Alligator mississippiensis: one gene and its partner. The protein of the gene in region 2 interacts with the protein of the main gene of each other region in a pairwise test. Links are inferred from orthologs where the notes say so. Each region holds a gene or a part of one and is shown on either strand. Other genes may lie near its edges.

Region 1 (7,560 bases), on a different chromosome or scaffold from region 2:
GGATAAGGGCGATGGCCCTGCTTTGCGCCGCAAGCAGGAAGAAACACTATGGGACACTGGTGGAAGGGACTAAAGAGATGCTTTATGTCCCTTTGTGTTCCTTTGTACCAGTGAACAGGATAGACTGCAATATAGTTATAAACATATTAGGTAGTGTATTTGAACTTGATCACTATATAGGGCCAGATCCCACCACTTTTAAGAAGTAATTGATTTGTATGGTATTGTTTATCCCTTGTACTGAATTCATAATCTCACCTATGTTTCCATTTCTTTTTTTTAGAAATATTTTTTGTTGTATTAATATTTTGAGACTTCTGGTGGAAGAATGGTATTTATTTTGTATCAAAGAAAAGACTGCTCAGTTGTGAGGAAAAGCGCATTTTTACTACTCAGCGGGCACATCTATGCATGCAATTAACGTATATACATAAACTCCGGAGCTTACTGCTCTGGAGTTTTATTGCTTCTGGGTGCACTGTTGAAATGTGCACTTGGAACCGCAGCACATTGAGCCAGGTCAGAGCAGCCCTGGCTGGCAGTGGGCTTGGGGGATCAGCCTGCCAGCTCAGGGCTGCTCCCCCTTGCTTAATGTCCTGTGGAGGGGCTAGCTGGGGAAAGAGGGTGCTTCAACATCATGCTAGCAAGTGGGCAGCCCCTGCACTGAAGTGCCCTCTTGCCTCAGCCAACCGGGGCAGTGTCTACATGTAAAAAAACTCCATGGCAGGATAGTACTTGTATTTACAAGTACTAGTCTGCTGCAGAGTTAATTAAGTTACTCCAGCCTAATGGGAGTGCATGTGTAGAAGCATGATATTTACTATGCAGCTAATTAGTCTACTGTGCAGTAAATGTCTCATGTAGATATGCCCAGTGGGTGCATCCACACATGCAATTAACATGGAGCAATACATTCTGGTACAATTCACACCAGTCAGCAGCTCCCAAGCACAGTGCAAACACGTGCACCCAGAACTGCAGCAGTTAGAGCCAAGGTACAGCAGCCCCAGACTGGCGTTGGGCAGTGGAGGGGCTGACTAGGGCACAAGGGTGCTACAGTGTAGGACTAGTGCAGCCCTCACACTAGCACTCTCATGCCCCAGTCAGCCTCAGTCACTGTCAACATGTGTGTTGAGACACCATAAATTACTCCGCTGTAGTACTTGCCCTAGACAGTACTATCTTACTGCAGCTAATTAATTTACTGATCCCTAAATATAGGAGCACATGTGGACCAGGACACTTTACTGAAGAGTTAATTAGTCAACTCCACAGTAAAGCACATGTATAAAAGCACCCAGGATGAACAAGGAGTTAATTATGTGAGCAATGTCTGATTATACCCTTAACAATTAATTTCCTTGCTTTTAGGAGCACAGGTTTTGGAAATAACTCGATATTTAAACATATGTTTTTGTTGCTTAGCAACAACTTTTTAAAAAAAAACATTAAAAAAAAGTTATAAGCAAAAGCCCTCACCACTTTCCCTTTTTTATTAGGGAAGTAAATAAAAATGCTTATTTTTACTAAATACATGAAGAAATGAAAATACCAAAAATATTATAAACAAGTAAATAATAAATGCATAAAATAAAAATAATAAATAAATATATAAATAAAAAATTATGAGAACAGTCCCTAGTTTATTAGATGAATCTTTTATTAAGCTGGTTCACAGTGGGCATGTCTACATGTTCATTAATGCACTTTTGCTAATCCGCATTAAGTTTAGTATCTTCATTGTGAAGTACTAGAAAAAGGTGCATTAGCTTATCTTAATGTGCATTAGCAACAGCACACTTCTTGTGACACTTAAATATGCATCAAAATAGGCTAATACGCATTAAAATGCATGTGTAGACACACCAAGCCACTGCTTCCTCTCTACAACAACCGTTACGACACATTGCAGGTAGACTTGCGTGCCACACTCCGGCTCCTGCTACATGCTACATATATTATATAGTTAACTGGTTAATTCCGCAATAAATTTAGACTGGCCACACATGCAAAGTAATTATCACTTACAGGGGCAGATCTAGGATTTTGAAAAAGGGGGAGAGGGGTGCAGATGCTGTGGTGCATCATATAAAACAGAACACATGTTTCTCTACAGATAAAGATAAGCAAGATGCTTCATTAATAAGGCGGGGACTACAGCTAGTTATTCACTTTGAAACTGAAGCAAAAAACAAACAAAAAACTTTGATGGCATGTGGATTATATCATATATAATGGCATGTGGCATATCATATATAATGGCATTTGTTGGCATGTGGCAATATCATATATAAACACACAACAAACAAGGAAAAAAATAATCCAAAAATGCTGCTTCATTAATCCTGGAGTCACTCATGTTAAATGCGTGTGTCTTTTTCAGATTCAGAGAACAAAATCATGCCTTCTGGAACACCCGCAGAGCGCCGCCGATGCTCCGCGGACAGCGACTTCTGCACCTGACCTAACGCGCACCCGAGTTAACATTTCCACACCTGAGTTAATGTTTTTAGCTAAAGTTAAAAAAAACCCCCAAAACTAACAGCGCACAGGGCTGTGAAACAGAAATAACCCGACTAGGAGCAGAGCTCTGCTCCCTGCCCTGTTACAAACCTGCCCCCTGTGTCCTTCTTCTGGGGACCAGCGGGCACGTGCCGCAAAAGGCAGGCGAGGCGGCGCAGGTGACAAGGAACCAATATCTGATACTGGGAAATCCCAGTCTCTTAAAAAAAACAAACAAACATGCCACAAAGAAGTGCAACAGCGCAGGCAAAACCAGAGCCTGGCCAGCCAGCGCCCCGGGAGGCCCCCAGGACCCAGGGAAGGCTGCTGGGGCTGGCCCAGCCTGCCCTACCCCACCCGGGGCAACTTGCCAGGGGGCTCACGGCTCCGTGCGGTCACCGGGCGCTGCGGGGCCCTGTCAGGAGCCGGCCCGCGCCACAGCTGCTCACCGGGCCTCCATCCTCCGCGCCGGGCGCTTCCCGCCGCGCTCCCGGCCCCGGCTCCCGCCGCCGTTACCGGGGCAACGCGAACACGCCGCGGGAGCGTCGGCGGGACGGGGGCGGGGCCTCGGCGCTGGGGGCGGGGCGCGGGAGGGGCAGCGAGGAGGACATGGAGAGGGGGTCGTGGCAGCGTTGGGGTGAGGGGTTATAGGCTGTGAGTGCACCAGGTCTGGGGCTCTCTGTCTGGAGGCGGGGTGAGGAGAGTAGGCTTGGCTGGAGACTGGGCAGTAAAGGGGCAAGTGTGTTGTCTTGCAAATATGCCAGCTCGGGCTCTGGCTGGGTTGCATGGTGGAGGCTGAAGTGGGCCCTGGGTGGTGTGAAGAGCTGGCCCTCCGGGGAAGCGGCACGCCCGGGTGCAAGGGGACATGGAAAAGACTGTGTGAGACCAGGGCAACACCGTGAAAACACAGTCAAAACTTTGCGTCCCAATAAAGGAGGCTTAATTTGTACCGTTGTGATACCTTGGTGCGGCTTGAAATCTGCGCAGACAGAGCCAGCGTGTAGGAGCGGTACCGTTTCCGTGCGGCGGGAGGTTACAGCCATGACTCTGGCCCACAGCTAGGATGAGCCGTGCTAGCCGGGCCCAGCCTGAGGTGAATTTTGTCTCGTTGAGCCCGGTGTAATTCACCCAGGGAAAAACGTTTCCTTTTGGTTTGATGAGCACGATGAGGGGAAGCGGAGACGCAAAGCTGTATGTGGAAGCGCTGTTATCGGTAGATAATACAATAGGCAGAAGGCAGGCTACAATGTAATTACCATTTTTCTTCTAAACAAGTAACTGCGCTGGTGCAAAATAACCTGAAACGGTTTTCACATTGCTATGCAAATAACTTACGGTACTTAGATGGTACTTATTTTCATGGGCTTTGATTTAATATAGTATGGCTTTTATGTGAAGGAAAAGCACTTTCTGAATTCCATGTATTTTCATTCTTAAAACAGGTTTATTTGCACTTGAATATCTGAATATCTTACATTTTCTGTCCATTGTAAGGGATTTTCTTGATTTCTACTGATTGTGCATAGGCAGGTATAGATTCATAGATGTTAGGGTCAGAAGGGACCTCAATAGATCATCGAGTCTGACCCCCTGCACAGGCAGGAAAGAGTGCTGGGTCTAGATGACCCCAGCTAGATGCATATCCAACCTGCTCTTGAAGACCCCCAGGGTAGGGGAGATCACCACCTCCCTTGGGAGCCCGTTCCAGACCCTGGCCACTCGAACTGTGAAGAAGTTCTTCCTAATGTCCAGTCTAAATCTGCTCTCTGCTAGCTTGTGGCCATTATTTCTTGTAACCCCCGGGGGCGCCTTGGTGAATAAAACCTCACCAATTCCCTTCTGTGCCCCCGTGATGAATTTATAGGCAGCCACAAGGTCGCCTCTCAACCTTCTCTTGCAGGTAGTCCTAAGTTCACTAACCTTCTCTCTAACCATGTTTTTCATGAAAAAATAATATAAAAAAAAAACAAAACCTGAAAATTAAACACAATGGTTGGTCAGATTTCTTGTTAGGCAGCGGCTCCAGCCACCCTCCCCCAACTCCCGTGCAGCCACTGTCACCCCACCCCTACGTCCAGCCAGAAACCTGTGTCTCGGGTAACTGGCACAGCGGCACTTTTAGTTCACCAGCACCACCCATTTTTCAGTTCAAATCCCTGTTAACTGGCACAAGTGGGGAATGGGCCATTTGAACTGAAAAACGGGTGCAATTAGTAACAACCAAATGGCTTTAAAAAAATCAGGAAATTTATTAGTGAAAAATTGGTAAAAACTGAGAATGCGGAACACTATTAATTAAACAATGGCTTCTTGTCTTTTTGCTGCAAACTCCCTTGGCTGTCCTGCTGGCGTGGAGGTGGGATTCATGCTGGCCTCGCTCACTGTCCCACTGTCCCCAGCCCCAGCAGCTGGCTGGCTCCTCTGGACAGCATGGGAGCTAGGCAGGTGGACAAGCATTCTCAGCCAGTGACCAGGTGTGCACTGCTGGTGGGGAAGAAAGGGAATTGGTGCTGCCTAAGTGATGCCCCCACTGGCTTCTTCCCCACTTCGCTTGAGCCCTCTGGTTCCCTGAGCCCCAGCAGCTGCCTACAGTCAGGGTTTTCTCATAGGCACCAGATGAGAATAAGGGAGGTTAATTAAATAATGAGGTCCTGCTACTTGCTTGCGTGCCCGCTGCCCAGCTGCTACCTCCCTAGTATCCCCAAGCTGTTATGCTAGCTTGGGGGATTCATGCTGGCCTCACTTGCTGTCCCAACTGGCTTATTGGGTGGCTGGCACCTCTGGCTAGTATGACAGCTGGGCACCTGGGCACGTGCACACCACTGCACTCAGCCACTCAACCAGTGGCCAGTTGTGCGCTGCTGGCAGGGAAGGGGGTGGAATGGGTAGTGCTTGAGTAAAACTCCTCCTCAGCTTTCCCCTACCCTTGGCTTGAGCCCTTAGGTTCCTTGAGTTGCCCCGGCTGCCCAGTCAGGCTTTTCCTGCACTTAGCAGACTGCTAAAGATTTTAAGAGGTAATACCAGGACAGAAAAAGGCCCAAGATTACAGGAGATCAAAAAAGCCCTGGCTGGTTTAAAAAGGAGTGCTCTCTCAGGAGAGGTGGTACTTGTTTTGGGAAATCAAACTAGTCTGATCATTGTAACCAACTGGTCACAGAATCTCAAAAGGAATAATTGCAAGTGCTTGAATTCATCTGTACCTCCTGGGTCATCCTGGTTTATACTCAAAGTACTCTAACCCTAACCTGGGACAGAGTGGGAGGGTATTGGTACATTTAGAGAAATCAGAAAACAACAAAGCATCTACATGTGCTTTTCAGTGCACTAAATAACTCCGCCATAAGGTAGTACTTATGCCAGGCAGTACTATCCGACAGCAGAGGTAATTAATTTACTGTGGCCTAATAGCATTGAATGTGTAGACGGTGATGCTTCACTGCAGAGCTAATTAGTGAACTTCACAGTCAAGTACATGTGTAGATACCCCCATAGAGATTTCAAATAGGAATACATAGTGTTAAAAACGGTTGTAGTCCTTCTGCATTCTTTGCAACAAAAGAATCATGCTGTTATTTTTCTGCAGTCAAACATGAATGACAACTAAGAGTTGACATTTCTGAATAGTGCCTTGAGCCTAATGAGGGATGCCTTAAGTATATTTAGGGGTGCCTTGAGCCTAAGCAGGTTGAGAACCACTGGGCTAGATGAACTGTTGGTCTAATTTAGTATGGCACTTCTTATGCTCTTATATTCTTATGAGGTCGGTTCTCTTGTCATTCTATTACTTTATTACTTTCTATTATCAATACTACTATTATTTTTACGGCTGTTTTGCCACCATGAATATAGCACACTCATCACTAATCCATGTTACACTATTCCAACTGTTTGCCCATTCCTAGGACTAAATCTTATATTTTAATTTTAAGCAAATAGGCCGTGTTCACACGAATGTGGATGTTTGGTTCCCTGGGGACAATTAGCAGCAGTGTACCTTGTGCCACTGCTAGTTGTCCACAGGGAATGCCTGTGCCACATGCCCTCTGGTGCATGGCAGGTTGCCCTGGGTGGGATAGGGGAGACTGGGGCCAGCACTGGGCTGCCCCAACAGCCTTACCTGGGATTCTGGGGGCTCCTGGGGCTGCAGTAGTGATGATCCTGCTGCTCAGAGCCTGGCCAGTAGCTAGAGTGTGGCTTCGGCCAGCCAGGCTCTGGTTTTCAGTGGTGTGCACTGCCCCTGCATGCACCATTCTGCTTTTCTATGGCGTAGGATTTTTTTGACCCCTGGATATCAAGGGGTCACCCCCATCCCCACCTGCTCCCTTGCAATGCAGAGAACAGCTGAACATGCGGTATGTGGTGTTGCAGACGTGTTTGAAGTTGTTTTCCACAATTCTGCATCCCTAATCCTATCCCTAAAGAAGTTCCATTTACTTTTCCCTTTAGGTGTGTTTTTGAATAAGAATTTTAAACATATTTAAATGATAGACATTAAAAACTACATAATCACCTGAGCTTTGCCTCAGAGGTATCTACATTTCAGTGGCTGAGTGAATTGATTTTGCTCTATACTGTTTATAAAATGTTTGGGGATACTTTGGTATGAAAGCTGCTGCATAAATGTAAGATGATGTTAGAGTTTCACTTTTACCAGAAAATACCTAGAGCTGCGGATATATTAAGGCAATATTTTCAGGTTCCCCTATCCCCAGTAATTTGAACTGGGAACACAATGGAAAAATATATGGACTGAAAAATAGTTTTTCCTCACACGGTCATAGCATTACAAAAAAACATTTGATTCATACCCCAGGGCCATTATATGCTTGTAATGATTTTTGTGTCCAGTCTCAATTTTAATGACCAAAATAGTGGGGCTGTCCTTGAGAGATTTTTTGACAAATGGATCTCACTTAAAAAAAGATATTTTTGTGTTTTTCCTGCAGCACTTTCCTTATCTCAGTTCCATCTTGTTAGTCTTAGGAGAACTCCCTGGTTCATCTCTAATAAATTCCTTTCTCTTCTTAGTGTTTAGGGTCTAGAAATATCAGTAGCCGT
Region 2 (7,608 bases):
AGCTCTGTTGCCTTGCTGCTGGGAGTAGCTTGCTTCTTCCTTGACAGCAGGCATCATTCCTGTTCAATGCAGTGCCTCGTTGGCTGATAACTCTTTAAGCTTTCTCTTAGCAACAGAGAGCCCAGGCCTCCTGTTGCAGCATTGTTTTTTCTGGAACTGATTTGGCAGCTTGTATGAAATGAGCCGATGGTTGGTTTAAAAAAAAAAAAAAAAAGGCACCAAGTAGCCCATCTCCCACTCTTCTTGCCTTCTCCCTGCAAGGCAGGATTAACCCTGATGAAAATTTGCTAGCGCCTGTCTTTTGCTGCTCCTTGACTAACTGGCAGGCTTGCTATTGTGTTCCAGCACCACTGTCTTTTCCTTTCTGGCATCCAGGCTTCCATCTCTGGTGGCCAATACAGATGTTATAAATGATGCATCTGTTGCCACCTGGCAATCTTTTCTTCTTCCAGCTAAACTTGGGAGAAGGGCATCACCTTTTTTGCTCTCTTGTGAATTGCAACTCTGGGTTTGGGGCTGGGGAACAGGCTTGGCTTTGAGAAAGCTGTTCCTTGCAGAGTGCAGGAGAACCTGACCTGCATAGCAACCTTTGTTGGTTCTTGGCATCACTTTAGGTGAGCCTTCCCCAGGCCCCAAGGTCCCTGTTTGGGGGTGTGCCATTTGATAGAGATATGTATATTTTTTTAACATTCACTTTTTTCCTGTGTTCAAACTACTTCAGTTTCATTTTCTTGGCTCACACAAGTGCCATGTGGATCTAGAAGAGGTGTTGAGGCTCAGCCATACATCTTATGGATCTGCTTTGAACAATCACTTTTATCAGTATTTCACTGCCATGCAATGGTGGCACTAGACTATGCTAACACATTCAGTTGACCTCAATGCTACTTGGGTGCTGTCAGCAACCTGAGCATCTTAAATCCTCTATTTCTACTGGCTTTTTTTATTTCAAATGTATATCCTCTGGGGCTGCTAGCCTGTAGTTGCTTGCTGGCACTTTCCAGGCTGTCTTGCCCCTACATAGACCATGATGCTCAATTCTGTAACTCTTTCAGGTAAATACATATGGTACCCAGTGGATGCTTGATATCAAGTCTGGCTTCATCATTCAGCTAGCAGAGGGACTTTTGACCACTGGGGCTGGTGAGGTTGTCTTTTTTTTCCTCCTGTTACCTAGAGGAAAAAGCTCTGTAACCCAGAGAGAAGGCTGTACGGGCATAGAAGATACTGGGGGTTGCTTGAGGATCCTTCCTCAAACTGATGCATTGTTTTTCCAACTAAGTGCTTTTGTTGTTGGCGCTCTAGTATTTAATACTTGACCATGGCAGAAAACAGACAATTGCACCTCCTTGAAGCGTTTGATTAAAGCTTAATCTGTACAAACGATGCTGGGTCCCTTGCCTTGGTTTCCTGCCATGATCTCTTCTGCACGTGTCATAACTTGAAGGACTCTTGAGTTTTAGTTCTCAAATCCTGCCTCAGCCTCTCCTCTTCAACAGTTCCTCAGACAGCACAGCCTTTTTTCCCAGCAGTTGTTGGCTTTGCCTGACATTCTGGCAGTCCAGTCTGCATTCGTGAATGTTCGGGCCTTCTTTACAAGGGGTGGCAATGACCACTACAGCCACTGTGTTTTGAACTGAGTCCCAAAATGTGATGGGATTATAACACTATAGCTGTCAAACTTTGAAAGATATAGTGAGGCAAAGGTCTAGGCATAAGGACTAATCTGAATTTTGCCATTTGTCCTAGATTTAGACCAGTCTGGCTTTAATTTGATCCCATATTAACCTACGTTAGGGAAAGCCATGCTAGTATGGTGCACTTATCAACAAAATACTTCTCTTGATTGGTCTTCAAAGGAATTTGAGTTGGGAAATTGGAAGACTCAGTGCTGCTTGGTAGGAACCATTCTGCCCTTTGACTAATGCAGCAAGTGAAGGTTTTTCCTCCCTGAAGTTTTGTCAGCTTGTCTTGGGATGTACGTGCTGCAATCTTTCTGTCTGTTTGCTATTCTAGAAGCACAGCAGCCCGTGTGCAGTAATGCAAAGCAGTCCTAGCACTGAGCTTGCACTCTTGATGGCAGTCTCCTTCTGAAAATGTAATTGCATCTGGCTGTCATCTAAGTGATGAGTGGGGTGGCTGGGGTTAGAGGCTGCTGATTCATACGAGAGCAGTCCCTTTGGACTGACTCATGAAGAGCCATTTAAGTGCACAACATCCCAGACTACTTGCGTCTCCAACTGTGCATGTTGGAAACCACTAGAATTTAGCCTAGAGCTCTGAATAGCTTTCATCTTCTGGCCCTTTGTAAAGCTGAGTCATAATTAGTATCAAAGACTAGGTTTGGGTCTAAGATTTCTTTCTTTAGCACATGGAGTGGGGTGTTTCATTCCCTAGGTTTAGCACAGGGTTTCAGCTTGGATCCAGGAGGGTTCACATCACACCCCCCCTCTCCCCAATCCATTAAGATTTGACCCTTGTTCTTGTCCCATACAATACAGATCACTGTATTCAGAATATGCAGTTGCTGTTGGCAAAAGAGCTGGTGCAGTAACTTCAAGAGACCCTTCCCTGTGAAGCGGGCTGAGCCCTTTGTTGAAGGACAACCTGTAAGCGATAGTAGAACTTAGATGTGCAGTAATATTTGGGTTCTTGCTTTCCTCATTGTCTATGCAATTGGTGTGGGAATAAATGAAGGGTAACTCATCAACAGCATAGGGCCTTTCATCAACAGTCTGTTTTCCAGACCAATCTGGTGAAATATTTTTCTTTTTTCTTTTCTTTTCTTTTTTTTTTTTTTTTAAATAAGAATGGGACTTTTGCAAACAGTGCTGTGGCCGTTGGCAAACTGTGAATTGGGATTTTCTTTTGGGGGGGAGGGGGAGGGGTGGAAACCAGATCAGACCAGTAGCTACTGTAACACTGGCTAGAAAAAGATTCACTGAAGTGTGAATGGCGCTTTGGAAACCTTTTGTCTCCTGGATCCTTCACAGAAAAGAAGCTGGAGACTTGTCCTTTTTTTGTGTTTTTTTTTTTTTTTTTTTTTTTTTTTAAGAAGCAACCAGTTACAAACCCCATGAATGGTACTTATGTACTTATATTCTGTTACGTAAGTGCATGTCAGAGCATTAAACCACACATGGCCACACCCTGGAGTGGAGCTGGTGAGAGATTCTTTTTTTAAGTTTATTTTTCATTTACTAACCAGCTCATGTATGGGTTGCATTATAGAGCTGCGAGCACGTGTGGCAAAAGCAAGGGCAGTGGTAAGTTGTGGTTGCGGTACAGCGTTCAGACACCTGAATGCAGGACTTCCTGTAGCCACTGCAGTATCTTAAGGCTTTTTTTTTTTTTCTTCTTCTCCGAGTAAGGATTTTTTTTTATTTATTTATTTTTTTTAAATGAAGCCAAATACTATGGTTCTCTTCAGTGAGTCCCCCTTTAAAGCTACGGCATAGCTGTACCATGGTGGATTGAGAGGATGCCCACCCGACTCTAGAACAGACTAGCCGGCTTGATATGGAGTTGAAAGTGTGTTTCTCTTAGGTTTCCAACACTGTAACAGATGCAACATAAATAAAGAACCTGTTCCACAATCCCGGATACTGGGCGACTCTGGATTCTTTTATGAAACTTTGGGCATCGCCCCTGTGCCAGCGGGGGCCCGGGCTAAAGCCTGTCTATGTACACGGGGAACTTACCTGGGAATGGATTGGCAGAGGTGTGTGTGATTAATGTCCAAACAGAAGGGGTGAAACAGGCCTCGGCCTCTGCTTTCTTTAAACCTAAGCAGTAGCTGTACATGCCGGTCCTTCGTGCCAATAAACCGCAGTGTCCAGCTAGTGGGCTGCTCCCGCCGTCTCCGGCCCCACGGGGAAGGGATAAGTCCAATAACGCCGCCATCTTCAGACCCTCCCTTCCTTCCCCCAGCCCAGCCAAGCTTCGACCCTATCCCGCCTCGCTGTAGCTATGCAGAGGGAACGCTGCATACGTTTTATTTAATTTATTGGATTTAATGGGAGCGGCTCCACAGCTTTCCTGCGCGGGCCCTGGGGCAGGTGTTCATGTGAGAGCAGGATCCTGTAGAAGCCAGCTCCCACCTGGGTCCACGTTAAGCACTGATGATGTGGCAGGTGGGCTCTGCAGAGCTGCTCGGTTGTTTTTGGTACTGTGAGCTGAGTGCACCCGTGCCTGGACTCCAGGCTTTGTGTGATGTATGTAACGTGTGCCAGGCTGGTGCCATGCAGGCCTAGAGCTTGTTCAACAGGCTCTGCCTGCCTCCAGCTGTTGCCCCTGGTTCCCTGCCACGGGCCACGTCCTCCTGCTTAGCTGAGAACAGGGAGCTGCCCCTGCCCCAGAAGCTGCAGTGTGGGCCCCGGGGCCTGCTGGGAGCTGTAGTGCCGCCCTGTTTCCGGGGCACGCCGGGAGCTGTAGTGTTGCCGTGCCGCGGAGAACGCCGGGAGCTGTAGTGCGGCGCTGCCGCGGGGCCCGCCGGGAGTTGTAGTCGCGTCCTCCCGCCTCAACTGCCGCCTCCAACCGGCGTTTCCCGGCAGGCGCCGCGCGGCTTCGCGCGCGGATTGGCTGGCGGCGGGGCCGGCGCATGCGCACTCCACACACGCTCCGCGGCCCGGGCCGGAGCCGCTTCTCCGTCAGCTACGAACCGCGCCTAGGAAGCGGGGCCGCCGGGCGGGGGACGAGCTGTGGCGGCCTAGGAAGGGAGCGGGGCCCCTCGCTCGCTGGTTGACCGAACCCGGAGAGCCACGTCACACCTCGGGCCGGTGACGTCACGGGGTGCGTGTGTGATGTCACCGCGGCGCGGGGCCCGCAGCCCTGCGCGGGGGGTTGGGGATTGCAGCCGTTGGTGGGGGAGGGGAGGGGAAGGGGGGGTGCAGCTGGTGGGGGAGGGCCCCGGTGGCACCCCTCCCCCCCCGGGGCCCTGCGACGCGGGCACTCGGCCACGCTGGGGGGGGGGCCGGGGTGTCCCTGCGGCCGCCCCGGGCCCGGGCAGGCTGGGCACGGCCGCCCGAGTCCCGGGCGCGAAGGCAGCGGGTGCTCCTCTCTCCACAGGGCGCGTCGACACGGCGGGGAGAAGAGCCGCGATGAAGAACCAGGGCGGGGAGACCAAAGCCGTGGCGGCCCCGGCGAGCCCCTCCAAAGCCGGCGGTAGCGGCCTGGCGCCCGCCGAGGACGACTCGCCGGAGGCTGCTCCGCCCGCCGACGCCGGGGACTCGGCAGGCCAGCCCGACGGCAGTGCCGAGAGCCCGGCCAGCGAGACGCGGGAGAAGATGGAGGGTGCGTTTCTGCTCGGGCGGGCGGGCGGGCGGGCATCGTAGCTAACTCCTGTTTCCCCGTGTCAGGGAGGGATTAGGGTCAGGTTTGTGCATCCTAGGACATCCCGGACTACTGGCTGCATGCCTGGGATACGGGGGGAGACGGAGTCTCGTCCGGCTGTTGAGTGATTTTACTGTTATTGAGTTACTTATTACTCAAAGCCCTGGGACCTTCTGCACAAAGCTCCCCGTCTGCTCCTCTGTCCAGTCGTGTGAGCTGCCCCCGCCCTGAGCCAGGGCATCTGCCCCTCTCTCGGCGCGGTAAAGGTTACCCCTCCGCCCGGGGAAGCCCTGTCGAGTCAGCTCAGTGCTCGGTTGAATCGAGGCCTGCCTCCTGCTCCGATGGCTAGCAAACGCGGGATCTGATGAGTCACGTTAACTTAATAGCTGAAGATCCATTTGCCAACGGCTGCCAGTCCTCAGGAGATCTGGTCTGAGCTGTGTTGATGTCCGCTGTCAAGGCAGCACGTAGCGGCTGTCTCTGACCTACGTCCGATCCCAGATCATTAGTATTATTAAAATGTCAGGCCGGGGGGCGTACATTACCAGGCTGTGCCTGCGAAGGAAAACCGCTGCTGCGCTTGTTTCCATCAAGCAAGTGGAAGTTTTGCCACCGACAGATTTTGGCAGCCTGGTCATGCCACCAAGATGAAAAGAGGGTGGTGCATCTCTGCGGTCAGGGCAGCTGCACAGTGATACAGATGTTCCCCGACGTCGGAACAAAGCGGCTGATGCAGCTGGAAGTGGAGCTGGCGCTGGGAAGGGCTGTTACGTGCTTAGGAAGCTCTTCCCCTTCTCTGCTTGTAGGGGGTTGGCAGAGGCATGCTTAGAGGATGGGGATTGTGAGGGTAGGTGTCACATGCTCGTTCTCTTCTCCCATCTCCCGCAGCTTCTGGACAGGAGGAAGCAAAGGGCTCCCAGCCTGCCATCTGTGATGTCTCTGAGGAGTTGAGCAGGCAACTGGAGGACATCCTCAACACGTACTGCGTGGATGCCAGCCAGGAGGGCCCCGGGGATGACGGGGGGCAGAACGAGCCTGCAGAGCCTGATGAGGCAGAGAAGTGCCGGAGCGAATCTCCACGCAACGGGGAGCAGGAGCCAGGCTGCCCAGAAATTAACGGGGAGAAGGAGGGCTCGAAGGGGCCCGAGGAGTTCCGGACCGGTGACGAGTGTGGGGAGCGGGACCAGAAACGGACCCAGGAGAAGAAGAAAGCCAAGGGGCTTGGTAGGGGCTCTGACCTCAGGGTCAGCCAGCCTGGGGGACGGGGCATTTCACCTCTGCTGGTTTAGCAGCTAAATCCAGGGGGACAGGGCTCCTACCCAGTCCCTGCATGATAGCATCCATGTCTGTGTACACATCCCCTATGGTGAAGCCACAGACCAGTGCTAAAAATTCTGTGTTCCCTTAGTACCAGGGTGGATGTGTACAGCAGCGTGCACACACAGAGTGAAGCTTGTCCCCCTGCTTTCTGTAGGTGCCTGCTCTATGCAATAAAAGGGTGCAGGTCAGATCCTGCCAAATAAAGACTGCCAATACTTCTTGCGCTTGATTATGCAAGTACAGTAAATTGCATTATGTATGTGTTGGCAATGAAGGATATTTCTGGACATCCGCCCAGACAGGGTTAGCATGTAGAGCGAGTGTTCAGTTGCCTGTCTAATTTGCACCTACGTGGCATGACTCTAACATGGAGTTGTACGTGAAATTGCCTGCTAAGCCTCTTTTCCCTGCCATGGTTGGGGAGGGGGTGGTTAGAGAGTAGGCATGGATGTGGGAGTCCAGGACGTCTGGAGTTCTTTGCCCAGCTGCCCATGTAACCTGGTGCAGGTAGCACACAGACCACTTGCCCTGCCTTCTCACTGGGTCTCTGCTGATCTCCCTCACTGTTATATGAGCACCTCAGCTCTAACATAATTATCCTCACTAATCCTGTATGGATGGAGAGTGAAGGCACAAAGACTTAGTGGCTTGCCGTGGGTTACCCAGGAAGTTGGTGGTGTCTCAGGGAGTTTAACCCAGGTTTATTGAGTCCATTGTCCAAGAAGACCACTTCAGCCACCGTCTTAGTCACCCAAGGCACAAATGTCTTCGGGAAACTTTTACTAGCTGCTTGCCTCAGGGCAGGGGTTCTGCTCAGGCTCCGCCTCTATGCCTTGGGACTGGGAGCTCTGTCTGAAATGGATTTTTGCTTTGTCCTGTGTTCCAGGCAAGGAGATCACACTGCTGATGCAGACACTGAACACACTGAGCACCCCGGAGGAGAAGCTGGCGGCACTG

Evidence for each region. The genes of interacting proteins can lie anywhere in the genome.
Region 1: the proteins of TXLNA (region 2) and DEUP1 interact in binary tests that used the Homo sapiens proteins (3 or more experiments, as listed by UniProt). The two-hybrid records come from large-scale screens. The link is inferred for Alligator mississippiensis from reciprocal best matches to the Homo sapiens genes TXLNA and DEUP1.

The regions. Positions count from the first base shown.
Region 1 is NC_081824.1:448,092,723-448,100,282, reverse strand, and holds the start of DEUP1 (deuterosome assembly protein 1), read right to left. Parts: upstream 3,014-7,560; 5' UTR 2,963-3,013; coding exon of another isoform or gene 2,952-2,962; intron 1-2,951. UniProt on the Homo sapiens protein: Key structural component of the deuterosome, a structure that promotes de novo centriole amplification in multiciliated cells.
Region 2 is NC_081829.1:5,547,755-5,555,362, forward strand, and holds the start of TXLNA (alpha-taxilin), read left to right. Parts: upstream 1-4,597; 5' UTR 4,598-4,791; intron 4,792-5,067; 5' UTR 5,068-5,099; coding exon 5,100-5,292; intron 5,293-6,219; coding exon 6,220-6,555; intron 6,556-7,537; coding exon 7,538-7,608. UniProt on the Homo sapiens protein: May be involved in intracellular vesicle traffic and potentially in calcium-dependent exocytosis in neuroendocrine cells.